Cricetulus griseus: one gene and its partners. The protein of the gene in region 1 interacts with the protein of each later gene in a pairwise test. Links are inferred from orthologs where the notes say so. Each region holds a gene or a part of one and is shown on either strand. Other genes may lie near its edges.

Evidence for each region.
Region 2: the proteins of Ushbp1 (region 1) and Dydc1 interact in binary tests that used the Homo sapiens proteins (3 or more experiments, as listed by UniProt). The two-hybrid records come from large-scale screens. The link is inferred for Cricetulus griseus from reciprocal best matches to the Homo sapiens genes USHBP1 and DYDC1.
Region 3: the proteins of Ushbp1 (region 1) and kelch-like protein 38 interact in binary tests that used the Homo sapiens proteins (3 or more experiments, as listed by UniProt). The two-hybrid records come from large-scale screens. The link is inferred for Cricetulus griseus from reciprocal best matches to the Homo sapiens genes USHBP1 and KLHL38.
Region 4: the proteins of Ushbp1 (region 1) and Fam107a interact in binary tests that used the Homo sapiens proteins (3 or more experiments, as listed by UniProt). The two-hybrid records come from large-scale screens. The link is inferred for Cricetulus griseus from reciprocal best matches to the Homo sapiens genes USHBP1 and FAM107A.

What each region holds. Positions count from the first base shown.
Region 1 is NW_023276806.1:247,620,572-247,624,617, forward strand, and holds the start of Ushbp1 (Usher syndrome type-1C protein-binding protein 1), read right to left. Parts: upstream 2,801-4,046; 5' UTR 2,431-2,800; intron 2,181-2,430; 5' UTR 2,107-2,180; coding exon 2,053-2,106; intron 1,955-2,052; coding exon 1,833-1,954; intron 1,605-1,832; coding exon 1,190-1,604; intron 1-1,189.
Region 2 is NW_023276807.1:179,045,273-179,049,237, forward strand, and holds the start of Dydc1 (DPY30 domain-containing protein 1), read right to left. Parts: upstream 2,801-3,965; coding exon 2,654-2,800; intron 2,209-2,653; coding exon 2,107-2,208; intron 1-2,106. UniProt on the Homo sapiens protein: Functions as part of axonemal radial spoke complexes that play an important part in the motility of sperm and cilia. Plays a crucial role during acrosome biogenesis.
Region 3 is NC_048603.1:29,296,805-29,300,981, forward strand, and holds the start of kelch-like protein 38, read left to right. Parts: upstream 1-1,377; 5' UTR 1,378-2,154; intron 2,155-2,790; 5' UTR 2,791-2,791; coding exon 2,792-4,141; intron 4,142-4,177.
Region 4 is NW_023276807.1:166,707,002-166,710,950, forward strand, and holds the start of Fam107a (actin-associated protein FAM107A), read right to left. Parts: upstream 2,801-3,949; coding exon 2,722-2,800; intron 1-2,721. UniProt on the Homo sapiens protein: Stress-inducible actin-binding protein that plays a role in synaptic and cognitive functions by modulating actin filamentous (F-actin) dynamics. Mediates polymerization of globular actin to F-actin. Also binds to, stabilizes and bundles F-actin.

The DNA of each region.
Region 1 (4,046 bases):
TGTGAGAGTGTTGGGTTGCTGGGAACTGGAATTACAGGAAGTTGTGAGCTTCTGGAAGAACAACCAGTGAATGTTCTTAACTGCTGAGCCATCTATCTCTCCAGCCCCCGCCTTTTTGACTTTTTTCCTTTTTAATTTTTAGGAGACTCAGTGTTTCCCTGGGTTTTCTGGATCTCCCCAGCTCCAGCCATCCTCCTGCCTCAGTCTCCCACCATCACACTCAGGAAGGAGAGTTTCATTTTTATGTTGGTGAGAAGAGCCTCTCCAAACTGAGTGCTGAGCACCCTAGCCCAGTCTGTCTTTACTTCTATTTTGAGACGTTTGCCTATCTTGTCTAAGCTATTGTGATCCTCCTGTCTTAGGCTCTAGAGTTCTTAGCATGACAGGCTTGTCCCACAACACCTGGGTTTAACATCACACACAATCTGCCCATTTCTGGTCACCACCACCTTACTCTTCCCCGGGCCCACTGTTATCGCCCCTCCCCCACCACCAGGGTCATGGTCCACCACCAGGCTGTTCCTTCCACGGTCAGCAGATGGCGCAAGGGAACACCTCCAGCAGGTCCAATTCCCCGCAGAACCCAGAACCCTCTGGGGCTTCGCAGTACACATAGCACAGCTGCAGTCCTGCTCAGCCTCCACATCCTGCATACTGTGGTAGTCCCTCCTTGCCTGAGAGTTTTAATATGAAAAGAGCCTCTTCCTCCCCAATTGCTTTTTAGTGGTGGTGTTTTATCACACCAATAGAAACCCTAAGACTGGATTGATTTGTGTGTGTGTGTGTGTGTGTGTGTGTGCGCGCACGTGTGTGTGTGTGTGTGTGTGTGTGTGTGTGTGTGTGTGTGTGTGTGCGCGCGCGCCAGGACCTCACACACTCTAGGCAAAGCCTCTATCACTGAGGTACTCTGAAACTTTTAAAAAACAAACAGAAAAATTGACACAGGTCTTTAACCCAGGCTGGCCTTGAACTCAGTCTACATCTGAGAATGACCTTTGTCTTGACCAAGTGGCCTCTGATTGAGATCTGTCTCTCCTCAGCTTCTGGGGTGCTGAGATCATGGGGTGCACCCTGCCTGGCTTCCTTTTGACCCTCTCTTTCACTTTGCTGTCTTCCTTGGTCACTTCTGTGGCTGTCATTCCTCCACATCAGTTTGTTGAATGAATAAATGTGTGTTTGTTCAGCTCACCTGTCTCTGCAGAATCTCCTTCTCTGCCTGGGCATCCTGCAGGGAAGCCTGAGTGCAAACCAGCTCATCCTCATGGCGGCCCAGGGCCAGCCGCAGCCAGGCGTTCCTCTCTCTGAGGCGAGCTGCCTCGTGCTGTTCAGGCCAGGCTTCTTCCTGACCATCAAAGGGCTCCAATGCCATCTGGTCTCTCTCTTCTTTTTCCAATGGCCTTGGAAAGCTTCGGGAGCGGTGGCGCCAGGCGGCCACAGTGGCCTCAAGGGAGCTCAGCCTGCTCTGCAGGGTCTCAAACACACTGGGTACTGATGTGGCACCAGAGCTGGTATCCAGAGGGGCTGCCTGCAGGGTCTGGTGGCCTTCCACCTTTGACTTCAAGGCTATGGCCCCGTGGGATCCCATGTCACAATCACCCTCAGGCCTGGAAAGACAACCCAGGAACCCCAGCCACCTGAGTCTGAGCAGGGGCTTCAGGGCTAGACCTCAAGGTCCCTGGGAAGGGTGAGCAGGCAGTGAGCTGAGGAGGAAAAGGAAGGGAAGAGAGAGATGGAGGGGGATAGAGGAGGCAATGGACACTAAGAGAGGTGGGCAGGGCAGCTTTGTGAGGGGCTCCTGCTGGAACAGGAAGTAAGCACTAAATTCGTCCTACCGTTTCCCTGGGCTCTGCAGGTCAGGACCAAGGTGCTCCTGAAGTAACTCAGGTTTGGACTCGAAGCTCCCATTGGTGGCCTCCACCTCCTCTGAGCTCTCAGCCACTGGGTCCAGCTCCCCCTGAAAATGACAACCCCACCACGGCAGGTTCTAGTCCAAGCAGGCCTAGGCTCCAGGATCCATGAGGTTGGGTGAAGCAGGAAGAGGGGCACACTTACAGGCTGAGGATGCCTCCCTCGGCGGCTTCGGGGCCTAGTGGCCCGGGCGCTCATTGCCTCTTTAACCCCCTGGTTACAGCCCGCTCTCAGATCTTCCCTTTGTCTCCCCGTATCATTCGGTTTTCACCCTAGGAATTTTTGGTCAACTGCACTGACAGAACATTTGGATACCTCTCCGATGGTGCCCATTGCCTGTCTATTTGCCCCAACCTCTTGCCCCCTTCTCTGGTGCTTTTCCCTCATCAGTGTCCCCCTCTCTCCCCTATGGAGGTATGGGATAGGGACCCCAAGAATCTGCTCTCCTCCCAGGACTCTCCTAGCACCAAGCTCCCTCCCCTGGGAGTGGGGGGCTCCACCCTCTCCTCTGCTCCAGGGCACCTTGGGAAAGGCCTGAGTGCCTGGGCACATCTCAGGTCATCCTGGCCACTGGCTGCTGAGGCTGTGCTGGCCAAGGCTGGCCTGGGAGGGGCTGAGAAACAGGAAGCCTCCTGCCCTGGTCACATGGAGAGTTATTGTCTTGTTTCCTTCTTCAGGATGTCAGCTTCCTCCAGAATGTGGACAGGATGGAGAATTGGGACCCTTGTGCCACTCCAGGCTAACAGCCCAGCCCAAACTTGCAGTCCCTTTCTCTGTTTCCATTTCAGGGTTTCTCAGTGTCCATCCCCAGGTTCACCAGGGCTCACTCTTACTGTAAGCTCTCTCTCTCTCTCATTCTCTCTCTCTCTCTCTCTCTGTGTGTGTGTGTGTGTATGTGTTACTCTCTCTGTCTCTGTCTCTCTCTCTGCGTTTCTCTCTCTGCCTCTCTGTCTCTGTCTCTCTCTGTGTGTGTTTCTCTCTCTCTCTCTCTCTCTCTCTCTGTGTGTGTGTTTCCTCTCTGTCTCTGTCTCTCTCTCTGCGTTTCTCTCTCTGCCTCTCTCTCTCTCTCTCTGTTTCTCTCTCTCTCTGTTTCCTCTCTGTCTCTGTCTCTCTGTCGTGTGTGTGTTTCTCTTTCTCTCTGTGTGTGTTTCCTCTCTGTCTCTGTCTCTCTGTTGTGTGTGTTTCTCTCTGTGTGTGTGTCTGTGTGTTTCCTCTCTGTCTCTGTCTCTCTGTTGTGTGTGTTTCTCTCTGTGTGTGTGTCTGTGTGTTTCCTCTCTGTCTCTGTCTCTCTGTTGTGTGTGTTTCTCTCTCTCTGTGTGTCTGTGTGTTTCCTCTCTGTCTCTGTCTCTCTGTTCTCTCTCTCTCTCTCTCTCTCTCTCTCTCTCTCTCTCTGTTTCTCTCTTTGTGTGTGTTTCTAAAATTAAAAATAACAAACCTGTAGGCGTGGGCTCCAACATTGGAATAAATTTTATTTTTCATTACTTTGTTCTATCTATTTGTGTCTGTGGTGGGTGAGCTGCAAGCACTCGTGGGATCGATCCTCTCCCTCGGTCAGGCGTGGTGGTGGCCGCACCTGCTCTCCGACCCACAACGGTTTTCTTCAAGCAGAGCACCGTCTGTTGGCGCCGGAAAGCTCCCCCGGGACAAGGAGCCTGTCCACGGTATCTGCGGGATTTTCTTTATTTTTCCTTTCCATTTTGGCTTTTAGAAGTGTCTCGTATAGCCCAGGCTAGCCTAACACCTGACGTCATCTTCTGCCCTCTGGAGTGCGGAGATGACAAGTGTGCTCCCCAGCCCCCATCGCGATGGTATTGGTGAGTGCCAACATATGTAAAAGACGAAGCAGAAATACATGACGCAAATCCACGTCAAGTCCCACCGCGTCAATCACCAATCAGCCCCGCCCAGGTCGGCTCCTGTCCTATCTCAGCAGAAGCCTTGACAAGTGTAGTGTTGCTTCAGTCAACCCCGTTCTGTCACACCCATCCCTAACACTACCCCACTTCAGCCCCACTCCTGCCAGTGTGCTCTAAGGCACACCCCCAGGATCCCGGGGCCATTGAACTACATTTCCCAGAAGACGTTACGGCAGCACCGTGCAAACTTCCGGTCAGGAAGATGGCGGCTTCCTAGAACCC
Region 2 (3,965 bases), on another chromosome or scaffold:
ACCTGGCCACTACATTATCCTAGTATTCCTCAGTCCCTAACTGTTACAGGGTATGGCTGACATAGCCCACTTCCTAAACTTTTCCAGCCCAGGGGTTGGGGTGCCCTTTCCCCAGATGCCCTTGTCTATATAACCCAGACATATTGGTTACCAAACCCTTTTTGTTTACTCTCTACTCTCCCGGCTCTCCCCTTGTCCCTCTCCTCATGTGACCCAGCTCAGGATCATGTTCACTCTGGACTCTGATGTACCTGCCTCTGGCTATACTCTCCCCGTAAACTTTCTCCTCCACCATACCTAGGAGCAGTCATGTCTCTTTTATTTTTGTTTGTTTTTGTGTTTGTTTGTTTTTAGTCACTGATCAATTTGTTGACACTAGGAACAATATCAGCTGTCAACTAAAAACAAGTCAAATGCTTTTGAGCATTTTCTCTCAGCTTTTGTTGAGTTTTGTTTGCTTACTCTATTTAATTTTTGACAGTCTCACTATGTAACCTAGGCTAGGCCAGAACTTAAGATCTCCTCCCTCTGCCTTCCCAGAACAGGGATTGTAAGTGTGTACCACCTGCCCAGCTTTTTCTCTGGCTTTTGTTTAGGAGAGGATGCTGCAAAGGTGTCCATGAATTACTCTTGGAAACCCATCAGTGCTGAGTTGTAAATGACCTCGAGGAAGAAGCCAAATCCTCAGCCTCCAACTCAAACACTTCAGGGAGCAAGAGAAAAAGAATGATCTGCTACTTCTCATCTCAACACACTCCCTGTTAAGCCCTTTTCTGTTGGTTCAGCTCTCCTTCTCTTATCTACTTCTGCCCACCCATCCACTTCTTTAACTAACCATAACATCTCTTGTAGAATGTCATCCTACATTCCACACCCCCTGCAAATGAAATGCTTTGGGTTCAACATGCAGAAGATTAGCTTTGCTGGCTAACACAGCTATGAAAATGTTGAATTTCTAGTGTAACTAAAATTTTATTCCAGTAGAATGAAGTAGACGCATCAAAGGCTGTGAAGTATATCCCCATAGTGAACTCATTGTCTTGGGAAAGAAGAACAGCTGAGACTCCCTGCTTCTCTTCAGTAGAGACAGATCTAGCTGTAGAGGAGGACAGGTCCAAGTGGGCAGCACTACTACAGATGCTTGGCCTCCAAATACTACATCATACTTGTTTCAGAAATGCTTAAGACTGTAGTAAGATGACTCAGGTAAGGTACCCAAGACAACATGAAATTCAGTTATATTTTATCTTCTAACTGAAAGTAATCAAATACCACATTTTATCATTTTGCTATGTGAAACAAAGTTTAACGATGTGTAATTTTCCATTCCTTGACACCATGTAAGCACGCAAAAAGTTACATATTTAGAAATATTTCTTGTTTTGGGTTTCTTTTTTTTTTAGGTCAGGGATGTACAACCTACCCTTCCATCCTCCTAAGGTATTATTTCAGACCTTCATCATTCTTTCCATCCCTCCTACCTCATCACTTGATTCTTAAGTATATGGTCCTGGTTGATTCTTACCTCATAAAGTCACACCAAGTCAGCTTTCAACTTTGTGTCACAAGCCAATACACCCACCTACACCTAGCCACCTATGCTTTGTCTCTGAGCTGCAATAACAGAAAGGTTCATCCACTTGTTTTCCAGGCCCATTGCCTCTTTTTACAGTGGATAGAAGGTTTTAGATGGTTTTTTCGATTTTTCTATTACGTGTTCCATGTGTTCCTGAATCAAAATAAAACCCATTTCCCTTCCCCTCACAAACCCCGTTAAAGCATAATGCTCACTCACCATCCCCCTTCTTACCCTCTACACCTCACACTCACCACTGTTCCTGGAGAGACTGCCTGGGCTATAAATGAGCACCAGCTCAGCAGTGGTGCTGTTGACTATTCTCTGAATTGTTCTGTTTCCTCGTGGCACTGTCTCTTCACAAAAAAAAAAAAAAAAAAAAAAAAAAAAAAAAAAAAAAAAAAAAAAAGGATGGGGATACTAGGGAGCAATGTCTGAATGACCAGAGCCTGGGAGTATTTCCAGATGTGGGTTGTAGCACACCAAGGGTGACACTGTTAACTTCCATCATATTTGAGTGCTTGTCTTACCTGCTGAAATAAGAGTTCCTCAGCTTTGAGTCGCTCCAGCATTTCCTGCTCCATCAGTGCTAATTCTCTCTCATGCTCCAACTCAATCATCTCTTTCTGTCTCTAGCAATTGGTAAAAAGCAACAGCACACAACTTATTAGAGACCAATCTGTTAACACAGTCTCAGAGGCATCTCAACCACCAGCAATAAAAGAAGGGCTAAGAACATAATGCTCTATTCATTTGGAAACTATACAACAATTTGGGGGATTTTTATGATTTAGCCAAACAAAGAACACACAATTAAGATTATACATCAAATATAAAGAAAAATGAAACCAATCTACAGACAAACATGTCAGGAAAAGACACTACTGGGTTGAAAATACTTAAAATCAAAACAGAAGCCTTCTTTCTGTTTTCTCTCCTCTCTGCATTCACATACTGTCCAAAGTTTTCATATAATAAACATTATTGTAATGGAAAAACAATATTGAACATAAAATGTAAACAAGATGAACCAATTATCATGCTCTTCTAATTTCCTGAAAGGAGATCCATATTTACCAATTGCTCCATGATCACATTTTGCTTGTACTTATAAATCCACAAGGCTAAATATTCTATTGGATCCAATGGGCGGACTCTTGCCACTTCAGCGAGACCTTGAGTCAGGCATGTCCCCAGGCACTTTTGAAGATATGATGACTCCATTTTTAATTCCTAAATAAAATGATCTATAAAAGTTTTTCATTAGAGCCAAAAGTGTTCTGAATAGGCAGAGTTAAAAGTAAAGTCAAGCTAAGCAGTGGTGGAATTCATCTATAATCCCTGAACTATGGAGGCAAGTAGGGGCAGGCAGATCTCTGAACTTAAGGCCACCTTGGTCTATAGAGAGAGTTCTTGGTCTACAGAGAGAGTTCCAGGTCTACAGAGAGTACCCAGAGAAACCCTGTCCATATATATATATATATGGCTACCGGAACATTCCACTCTGTCACTAGTCATGGGTATTTCTTATTAAGGATGAAATAAGCAGGCTGGCCCAAGGAAACTCCAAATGGTCTACAAAAGGTCTCTGCAGAAGTCATAGTGAAAATAGCTACTACATCCTGACAGTTCTTGTTTAGTCCCAGGGTCAGAAATGGGCACTAGTGTTATTCATCACATTGTGCCAAGTAATGCTGGTGCCAGTTAATGCCCACAACATCTCAGGCAATGGTCAGACAGGGAAGCAAACTCAAAGAGCTTTAGTGAACAGTCCAGAGCACTTGACTGGCATGTGAATGTATGGTTTGTACCCACTGCCTGACCTCAGAACCTTAAGTCTATTGACTCTAAGATGCTTCTGCTATGTACTTCCATAAAACATCACAAACTGTCCATCTCTTCTGAAAAATCATGTATTGTCAAAGCCAGAGAATACAAATTCAGATTCCAATAAACAGCATGCAATTACTCATAATCTAGCCATAAACTTTAGGCTTACCTCAAGCACCTGCCTGTCATCATCCACCCTAGGCCCTTACTCTACCAAATATTCTGCCATTCTACACAACACACCCTGCACTTTTCCAACTCCACGATCCTCCCTCTATTGTTGGAACATGGCTCCTCACCTTCAAGGTACAGACCAGCTCTAGCTCTAAGAGTTTTTTCAACCAGTACAAGAAGGTTCCTCCTGCTTCAAGTAGTTCATACAGCCTTCATCATGCTGCCTGAGATGAGAGAGAGAGAGAGAGAGAACATGCATGCATGTAGGCATACCATGCACCTATGCTTGTCTTTCTTCTAGAAGACAGACCCCTCTAGGTTCCCAAGGAGTATTTTGGTCACAGGGCTAACAGCACTGAGCAAGTTTGTGCCCACTCCCAGCTGT
Region 3 (4,177 bases), on another chromosome or scaffold:
AGTGGCCAGCATCCACAAGCCCCGCCCTCAGCTCCAATCTCTCTCTGATCCCTTAGGCACAGGCTCTCTCTCTGCTATTACTACTTCTGCCTCTAGACCCCTGGTCCCAATGCCACGCATTGGATGTGCGTCGTGACCTTGACCACGTGAATTCTTTGAGGGCATGGCCTATAACTGAGTGAGAACACCCCTTCTACCCTGCGCTGAGCACCCCAAAAGCCAGGCCCCCCGTACAGAGACACTCACAGACATGTGCATGGATCTGTAAGTTGTCTCCTGGAGACAGTGTGGTTCTGGGAAGAGCCAGAGACCAACCTGACTCCCGCTAAGAAGAGCTCTTGACATGGACAGCCAGCAGAGCCGTGGCTCGGAGCCTGGCAGCTTCTGACTTGTCGCCTATGGCAACATGGCAGGGGTAGTGGCTGTGGAGGGGCTACAAACAAGGGCTAAGCCAGCAGGAGAGGCTGCTCCAAGAGTCTGAGCGGCGTGGGGAGAGGAAGTTAGGCTTCACTGCCACTCATGGCTAGAGCAATAGCGTACGGCAGTGAAGGGAGGGGTGGCCCGCCACCCTTCCAGCGTGCTGAAGCTCACCGCTGTGGGCCTGGCTGCCCTGCAAACCCCCCCCCCCCCCCGCCGCCCATCACCACCACCAGAACATGCTCGGCTTGCTCAGCAGCCGGAAGAACCATGACTTAGGCATTCCAAGCCCTGGGGAAGTTGTGTTTCCATTGTTTCAGCTTCCAGAGACCAAAGCTGGGTCCTTAGCCCACACCACCACCAGTCTCTTCTCCCTTCCTGGCCTCCTCCTCTTCTTCCCAGCCTCTCCCTCCGCGTTGCCTTTTCCTCCTCCTGCTCCTCTTTGATCTTTCTCCCCGGCCTCCTCACCTTCCTTTCACCTCTCTGTCTCCCTCCAACTTGTCTTCTCTTCCTCCTTTTCCCTCCCTCCCTTCCTCCTCTTTACCCTTCCTCCATACCCCCTCCTCCTCCCCTTCCTCCTCCCCTTCCTCCTCCACCTTCTCTCCCTCCTCCCTCCCTCCCCCCTCCCTCTGGCTTTCTTTCCCTTCCTTCTTTCTCCATCCCTTCCTCCTTCTCTCCTCTTCTCCTCATCCTATCCTCCTTTGTTCTCCTTCTCCCTGGACCTATGTGCCCTGCCTCCTGCTTCTAACTCACTTCTCTGTGGTGAGAGGAGACAGAGAAGGAAGCCTGAGGTCTAAGAGAGCCCAGGTGAAGAGCAGCTGCAGATGTCCAGATGGACATTACAAGCCAGAGTACACAGCTGTACCAGGAGACAGAAGGACAAACACACACACACACACACACACACACACACACACACACAGAGAGAGAGAGAGAGAGAGAGAGAGAGAGAGAGAGAGAGAGAGAGAGAAGGCTCAATTAGAGCCAGGACTTTCCCAAGTCTAAAAACTCCAGAATGCTTGACAAATTCAAAAACAGAAACAAAACAAAACACCAGCCCTTGCTCTGGATTGATTGCTTTGCCTTGGGGCCTGAAAGGGAACCACAGCCCTCACCACAGTCCTGCCAGGCAGAAGGTGGCGGACGGACCCCTACGGAATAGCACCCTGGGTTCTGTTCATTTTCTGCCTCTCCTATGACCACCTGCCACCTCTACTGTGACCCAGAGCTGTCTGTCTGCAGCGATTCCGCACAGGTCACAGCAACCTGTTTACAAACAGCTAGAGTTCCAAGGCTCTCTTAGGACAAGGGACTCGGGATGCATCCAAATGGACAGCAAAGCCTTGGTCAGAGAATCCGTCCCTCCCTTTCTATTTATGCCGATGTAAACACTCGCCAAGGAAACAAGCCATGCAGGCATGCGCAGCCCTGCAGGCCCTCGGGTGGCTGCAAAAGGCAACTGGAAAGTCACATGTCATAACACTGGAAAGTACATATGCAGCTATTCTTAGGCTTGGAATGTATACACTGTCTGCCTGCCCGGCAGCCCTTGCACCGAGCTCTAGGAGCTGTGAAAGTGCCTGCAGCATAAACAAACCCAGAACTCATCTAGGACAGAGAATTTGCCAACAGAAGGAAAGGCCTGGGGTTTATGGTTTTATTCCAAGACTAAGGTAGAAACCTTCTGAGGGGACAAGACAAACCCGGCATCCGTGGATGTCACTGCAGCAAAACAAGGTAGGTGTCCCTAACTTGTCATTCCTCAGCAGGCAGACTGTCCATGTCACCAAGGAGCCACAGAAGTGTTTGGTGTTCTCTACTAATTACATCTTTAAAACAAAACCCAGAGACCATGCGGTCTTCTCTCTAGATCTGGCCACAGCCCGCTGTAATCCCTCACTTCTGTCCAGTGACCAGAAGACCACACCCCCAGAATGTCAGCCTTAGGGAATAACTAACTCCAAGAAAGATTTGTAGACAAGTTTACTGGCAAATCTGCTAATGATCTGGACAAAGGCATACATTACTTGTCAAATGCATGGACTGCTTTTTTTGTTTGTTTGTTTATTTTTGTGCCAGGCTAATATGTGAGTCTCTGACCATCAACTTTGGTTGGAAGAGGCCTAAGATTAGCTGGAGATGCTACATGTCTTTTATCTCTGAGGCTGTTCACAGCCTGAAGTAGATCACTTTGTGGTCTGCGATGAGGGTGGTTTCCTCTTCCCTCTTCAGTGTGCTCTGTTTGTGAACCCATTGACTTGGTAAATAGATACAATGAACGAGGCTTGGAGCCCCCACAGCTAACCCCTCTAGTACACGATGCCAGAAAGCCTTGACCTTGCTTCCATTTGGGGCTTCCCTCCTTCTTTGTAGGATGGATGAGGAGCTACCAGATGGGGTTGTCTTCAAAGACGACAACTTCTCCTCTGACTTGTTGAGACAGCTCAATGACTTAAGGCAGAGCAAGACCCTGACCGATGTGAGCATCTGCTCCGGAGCCTGGGAGGTCCCTTGCCACCGCAATGTGCTGGCCTCCAGCAGCCCCTACTTCAAGGCCATGTTCTGCAGCCACTTCCGGGAGAGCACGGAGGCCAAAGTGTGGCTGAAGGGCATCAACTCCAGCACTCTAGAGCAGGTCGTCACGTATGTGTACACGGGAGAGGTGCACATCACAGCTGCCAACGTCCTCCCCCTGATGGAGGCAGCCGCCATGCTGCAGTACCCCAGGGTGTTCGAGGCCTGCTCATCATACCTGCAGAGCCAGCTGGCCCCCAACAACTGCCTGGGCCTGGTCAGACTCGCGGAAATCTTAAACTGTGAAAGCCTTAAGAAGAGAGCCAGGGAGGTGGCCCTGACTTGCTTCCCAGAGGTAGCAGCGTCGGCTGACCTGAAGGAGCTCTGTGCCATGGAGTTGAGAGACTACCTAGGAGATGACAGGCTCTGCGGCGAGGAGGAAAAGGTGTTTGAGGCCCTCATGGCTTGGGTCAAGCATGACCTCCAGGCCCGATGGCCCTACATGCAGGAACTTCTGCAGCAAGTCCGGCTGCAGTACATACATCCTGCCTTCTTTCACCATTTCATTGCCAACGACGCTGTCCTCCAGTCGTCGCCCGCGTGCCGGGCCATCCTGGAGGCGGCCAGGAAGCAGATGTTCTCTTTGTACAGCCCCAGTGCCCAGGACTGCAAACTCGTGTGGCACGAACCCCCGAGGAGCTGCTACCAAGACTGCCTCCTTGTCCTGGGGGGCCAGAAGGACAACCAGCAGACCACCAGGGATGTCTTGCTCTACAGTGTACACACTGGCCAGTGGCAGAGCCTGGCCAAACTCCCCGCGCGGTTGTACAAGGCCTCGGCTGTCACCTTGCACCGCAGCGTCTACGTGCTCGGGGGCGTGGCTGTGAGGGAGGGCAAGAGTGCCGTCAGTGCCAGCGTGTATGTCTTCTCTCTGAAACTCAACCAGTGGAGACGCGGGGAGCCCATGCTGGCAGCCCGCTACTCTCACAGAAGCGCCGCCCACCGGAATTTCATCTTCTCCATCGGGGGCACCGGAGAAGGGCAGCAGCTCCTGGGTTCCATGGAGAGGTATGACAGCGTCTGTGATGTCTGGGAGAGCATGGCTGACATGCCAGTGGCCGTGCTCCACCCTGCGGTTGCCGTGAAGGACCAAAGGCTCTATCTTTTTGGGGGTGAGGACATCATGCAGAACCCTGTGCGCCTCGTCCAGGTAACCAGCCGGTCCTTCTCTCCACGCTAGGACCAA
Region 4 (3,949 bases), on another chromosome or scaffold:
GAGTTCTTTTTCCAAAAACTGGCTCTTAACCCATTGCCATTGGCATGGTGAATTTGGTCTCTAAGAGTGATCTTACCCCTATTTCATTTTCCTATCAGTGAGACAAACCAGGATATATTCTGTTGTTCCCTCCCTTTCCCGTGCCTCCCAGGTGTATGTATGTGTGATGGGAAGATCATAGAAAGCCATCTAACTTCAGAAAGCCCATGGTTGCAGGCCTGGGGGAAGGGTGGGGGAAAGCAGCACTCCTAGAATTTAATTCAGATAAACAATGGATTTTTTTGTTTTGTTTGTACAAGCACATCCATTTTATCTTTGGAGCTACTTGCAATAAACTCTTCTTTGTTGTTTATGTGAGGTTCAAATTGCACCAGGGTTCAGGTCTTTTTGTTGTTTGTTTGTTTGTTTGTTTGTTTGTAATGTTCCTTGGCAATAGTAGTGGAATGGAGGTTTTACTGCCCCCTGGTGGCTAACAAGGAGTACAGACCTGGGGAGGTACCAGGATGCAGACAGAAGCCTTTCTCCCCAGGGTGAAAGTAATACTTGCCTGGTAGACTTTTATGGAAGGACAATAGCTTTCCAGGTATGACTGAGCATGAGTTATATCACAGAGTGAGTTCTTCCAGTCAGGGGGCTATGAGTATCTGTGCCAACCCAGGCACCAACATTGGATGGACTGCTGTACAGCTAGGAGACCTTCAACATGCCTTCCTCATCTCTATAACTGGGCAGTTGTTCTGAAGAATGGAGGACATAGGCATGGCAACCTCAGCCCCAGAGCTGGGCCACCTGCCTAAGTGATGCTATTACATCATGTAACAGCATTAAAGTTCCCACTGAAGTGAAAAAACTGGAAATTCAGTATGAAACAAATGTACAGGTAAACTATTCCTGGGATAAACTAGAAGGCAACATCCTTAAGTGTAACTATCAGGTGTTTGTAGCTAGTAGGATTATGGGGTAAGTCCTGCCCCTTTGATCTATGGATGCAAGCATCACTATATTGCAGAGATGGGAACAATTGTCACTCTTTGTCTAAATCAGTGATTCTCAGCCTTCCTTTAATACAATCTCTCAGTTGTGGTGACCCCCCAACCATAAAATTATTTCATTGCTACTTCACAACCATAATTTTGCTAGTTATAAATCGTAATGTAAATATCTGATATGCAGGATATCTGGTATGTGACCCCTGTGGAACCCCAAACAAGTTGAGAACCACGGATCTAATCATACTTTGGAGAGGTAGCTCTGAGTTTGAAAGTGTTTTCTGTCTCTGGGGAGGGTGGAAACCTCCTTAGCAGACTATGGGCTGCTGTTGCAGCTCTGTGGAACTGTCACCTTATTCACTAAAGGGAGAGGATGATTAGTGCGACCTGGCAGAACTGGGAAGGTGGAACTAAACATTTGATGTTTCTAGTGCTTACTCTATCAGTAAGCACTCAGCCCTCAGGGAGGCCTCAGGGAGACAAGCCTGTGACTCGGGAGCTCTGACTTGTCTGCTGTGTAGATGCACCAAAAGTTGAGAAAAACATTCACAGCTAGAGAAAACTCAGGGTCTTTCGGGTTAGGGAACCTTGCTGCCCGCTTTAGGAGAACGGGCACCTCAACACGGAACTTTGAAATCTGATTCTTCTATTGGGGGTTGCTGGCTTTATGCAGGCAAGGAAGCCCCCAGGAAGCCATTGTTGGTTTTGAATCCTTGGTAAGTTATTGTTTGGGGACTTAAGAGAACCCTTGTTCAAATGTTCACAACCAGTAACTAGGCGGCAATATCTCAGTCGGCAGGGGCGGGAGTTGGGGGTGGGGTCGGGGTGGTGCAGGGCAGCAACTCTGATCCCTAAGCTGTAGGCGGACCCAACGGCGCCTTGGACCCAGTCTGCCGACTCTTGGCTGAGACCCATTCCTTGCAGAGAAGGCTGCTGGTCAGGGAGCCAAATCCGTTGACACTTTCAAATCACTTTTACCGTTCCCCAAACCCCCTCCCTGAGTTCAGCTCCAGAAGGAAACATCCTAAGCCCTCATCAAGGGCATTTTCTCCCTTTTTTCTATATCTCGATGTTTTCCCAAACTATTTTTATGCTGACCATATATTCATTTATTTTATTATTTGGCTAAAAGGCCTTTAAAGTTTCCTGAGTAGAAAATACAGTGCTTCTCCGCACATAAGAAAACAAAAAGTTTAGAGATGAACACCTGCCATCCAACCACATCCACAACATCCAAAAGACCGCCATATGCCTCCTTCCCAATTTTTTGCACGCCCACATTTAGCAAATGCCTTATGAGCTGCCTGACCCATGCTGTCCCCTCATCATGGGCAACCGTGGTGGCCAAGACTCAGGGCTTTCTTCCTCCGTGGAATTCCTTCCTGCTTGGCTGTCAGACCTCCCTCCCTCCCTGACTGCCAGTGCACGCTCTTGGGAACACTGCCAGGTACTAACCCCGACAGGGACCTCGCGGAACCCCTGCAGGCAGGATGTGGAGTGGAAGCACAAGTTTGCATTTGTGCATGCTCATGTGTTTCCTCACTCAGGATGAGGGCAAAGGATGGAAGGAAAAAATGAGAAAAAAATAAAGGAAGGACAGAGCAAAGAGTGATGGAGAAACGTCAAAGCTTTGAGATGATGGGAACCAAAAAACCTGGGCACCAAGAAAGGAAGAACCAGGACCCTGCAGTCTGCAGAGGGTGGTCCCGGCGGCGACGTGGTTTCCACTTACCCGACCTGAGCAGCATCGCCCGGTACAGCCCGGTGGCTTCAGCGGGTGCCTTGCCCCACTCGCCCAGCTTCTGCGCCATGCCTTGAGCTGAGTGTCCCGATCGCAGAGTCTGGACTGGGGGCCTGAGCAGCGTCTCAGTGATAGTGAAGCCCTGCTGCTCCACCCGCCCAGGGATCCGGTTACCTTAGGCTTCTGAGACACAGCGGTGGTGTAAGACCGCTGGGAGCACAGGCAGTCTCTGTGCCCGGAGCAGTCAGGGCGCAGCGGGCGTCTGGACACCCTTGCAGCATCACATGGAGCACGGCCCGGCTTCCTTCCAGCCTGGCCTCTTGCCTACCTGGCCCAGTTCTTGGCCTCTGGCCTCTGTGAAGGCTACAAGCAGGTATGGGATTCGGGAGCGCCATTCCTGGGATCCATTCCCAGCCAGGCTGGTGAAAAGAAGCCCAGGGTCCTCTTCTGAGATGAGTGGAGAACGATAGTCCTTCACCCACAGGGTTACTAAGGTGAGGCTTGGCAGGGGTATACATGAAGTGCTAAGAACCCGGCAGTTCGGAGCAAACACTATGCATCTGTACTTTTGACTCGTGGTCTGAGGATGTTGCTCAGTTAGTTGGTAGAGGGCTTGAACGAAGCCTGGGCTTCATTATGCAGCATAGCACAAAAGCTGGGATGGTGGTGCACACCTGTAATCCTAGAGTTTAGGAAGTGGAGGTAGGAGGATCAGGAGTTCAAGGTCATCCTCAGCTACATTGCTAGTTTGAGACCAGACTGGGCTATGTGAGAGTTGTCTCAAAACACAAGCAAGTAAACAAACACACGGCAAAGATTCAAGAAGTACAGAGAAGCAGTGTCTTTGTTGCAGTAGAGAGAAGATGAAGGGGAAAGTTGGTAGGACGCCACAAGAACGATTTCTCTGGCTTTCTGGTGTCCCTTAAACAGCCAGAGGGGAAGACTGAGGGTGCATCAAGCAGTTTTGGAATATGCAGATGTCTACAGCTTTGGTTACCTGCTCTGCCTGCATTGGGCTACAGTGCATCTAAAACAAGAGAGTATAAATTATGCACTCTTTGCGTTCCAGTTCATTTAGTCTTTACAAAGTTGGGTCTCTTGGCATTCTGATTTTACAAAGGAGTGGAAACGGAAGCCCAGAGAGTCTAACCTACTGCTCTGAAGTCACTCATCATGGAGCTAGGGCACAAATTCAGATGGTCTGACCCCAGACACTGAT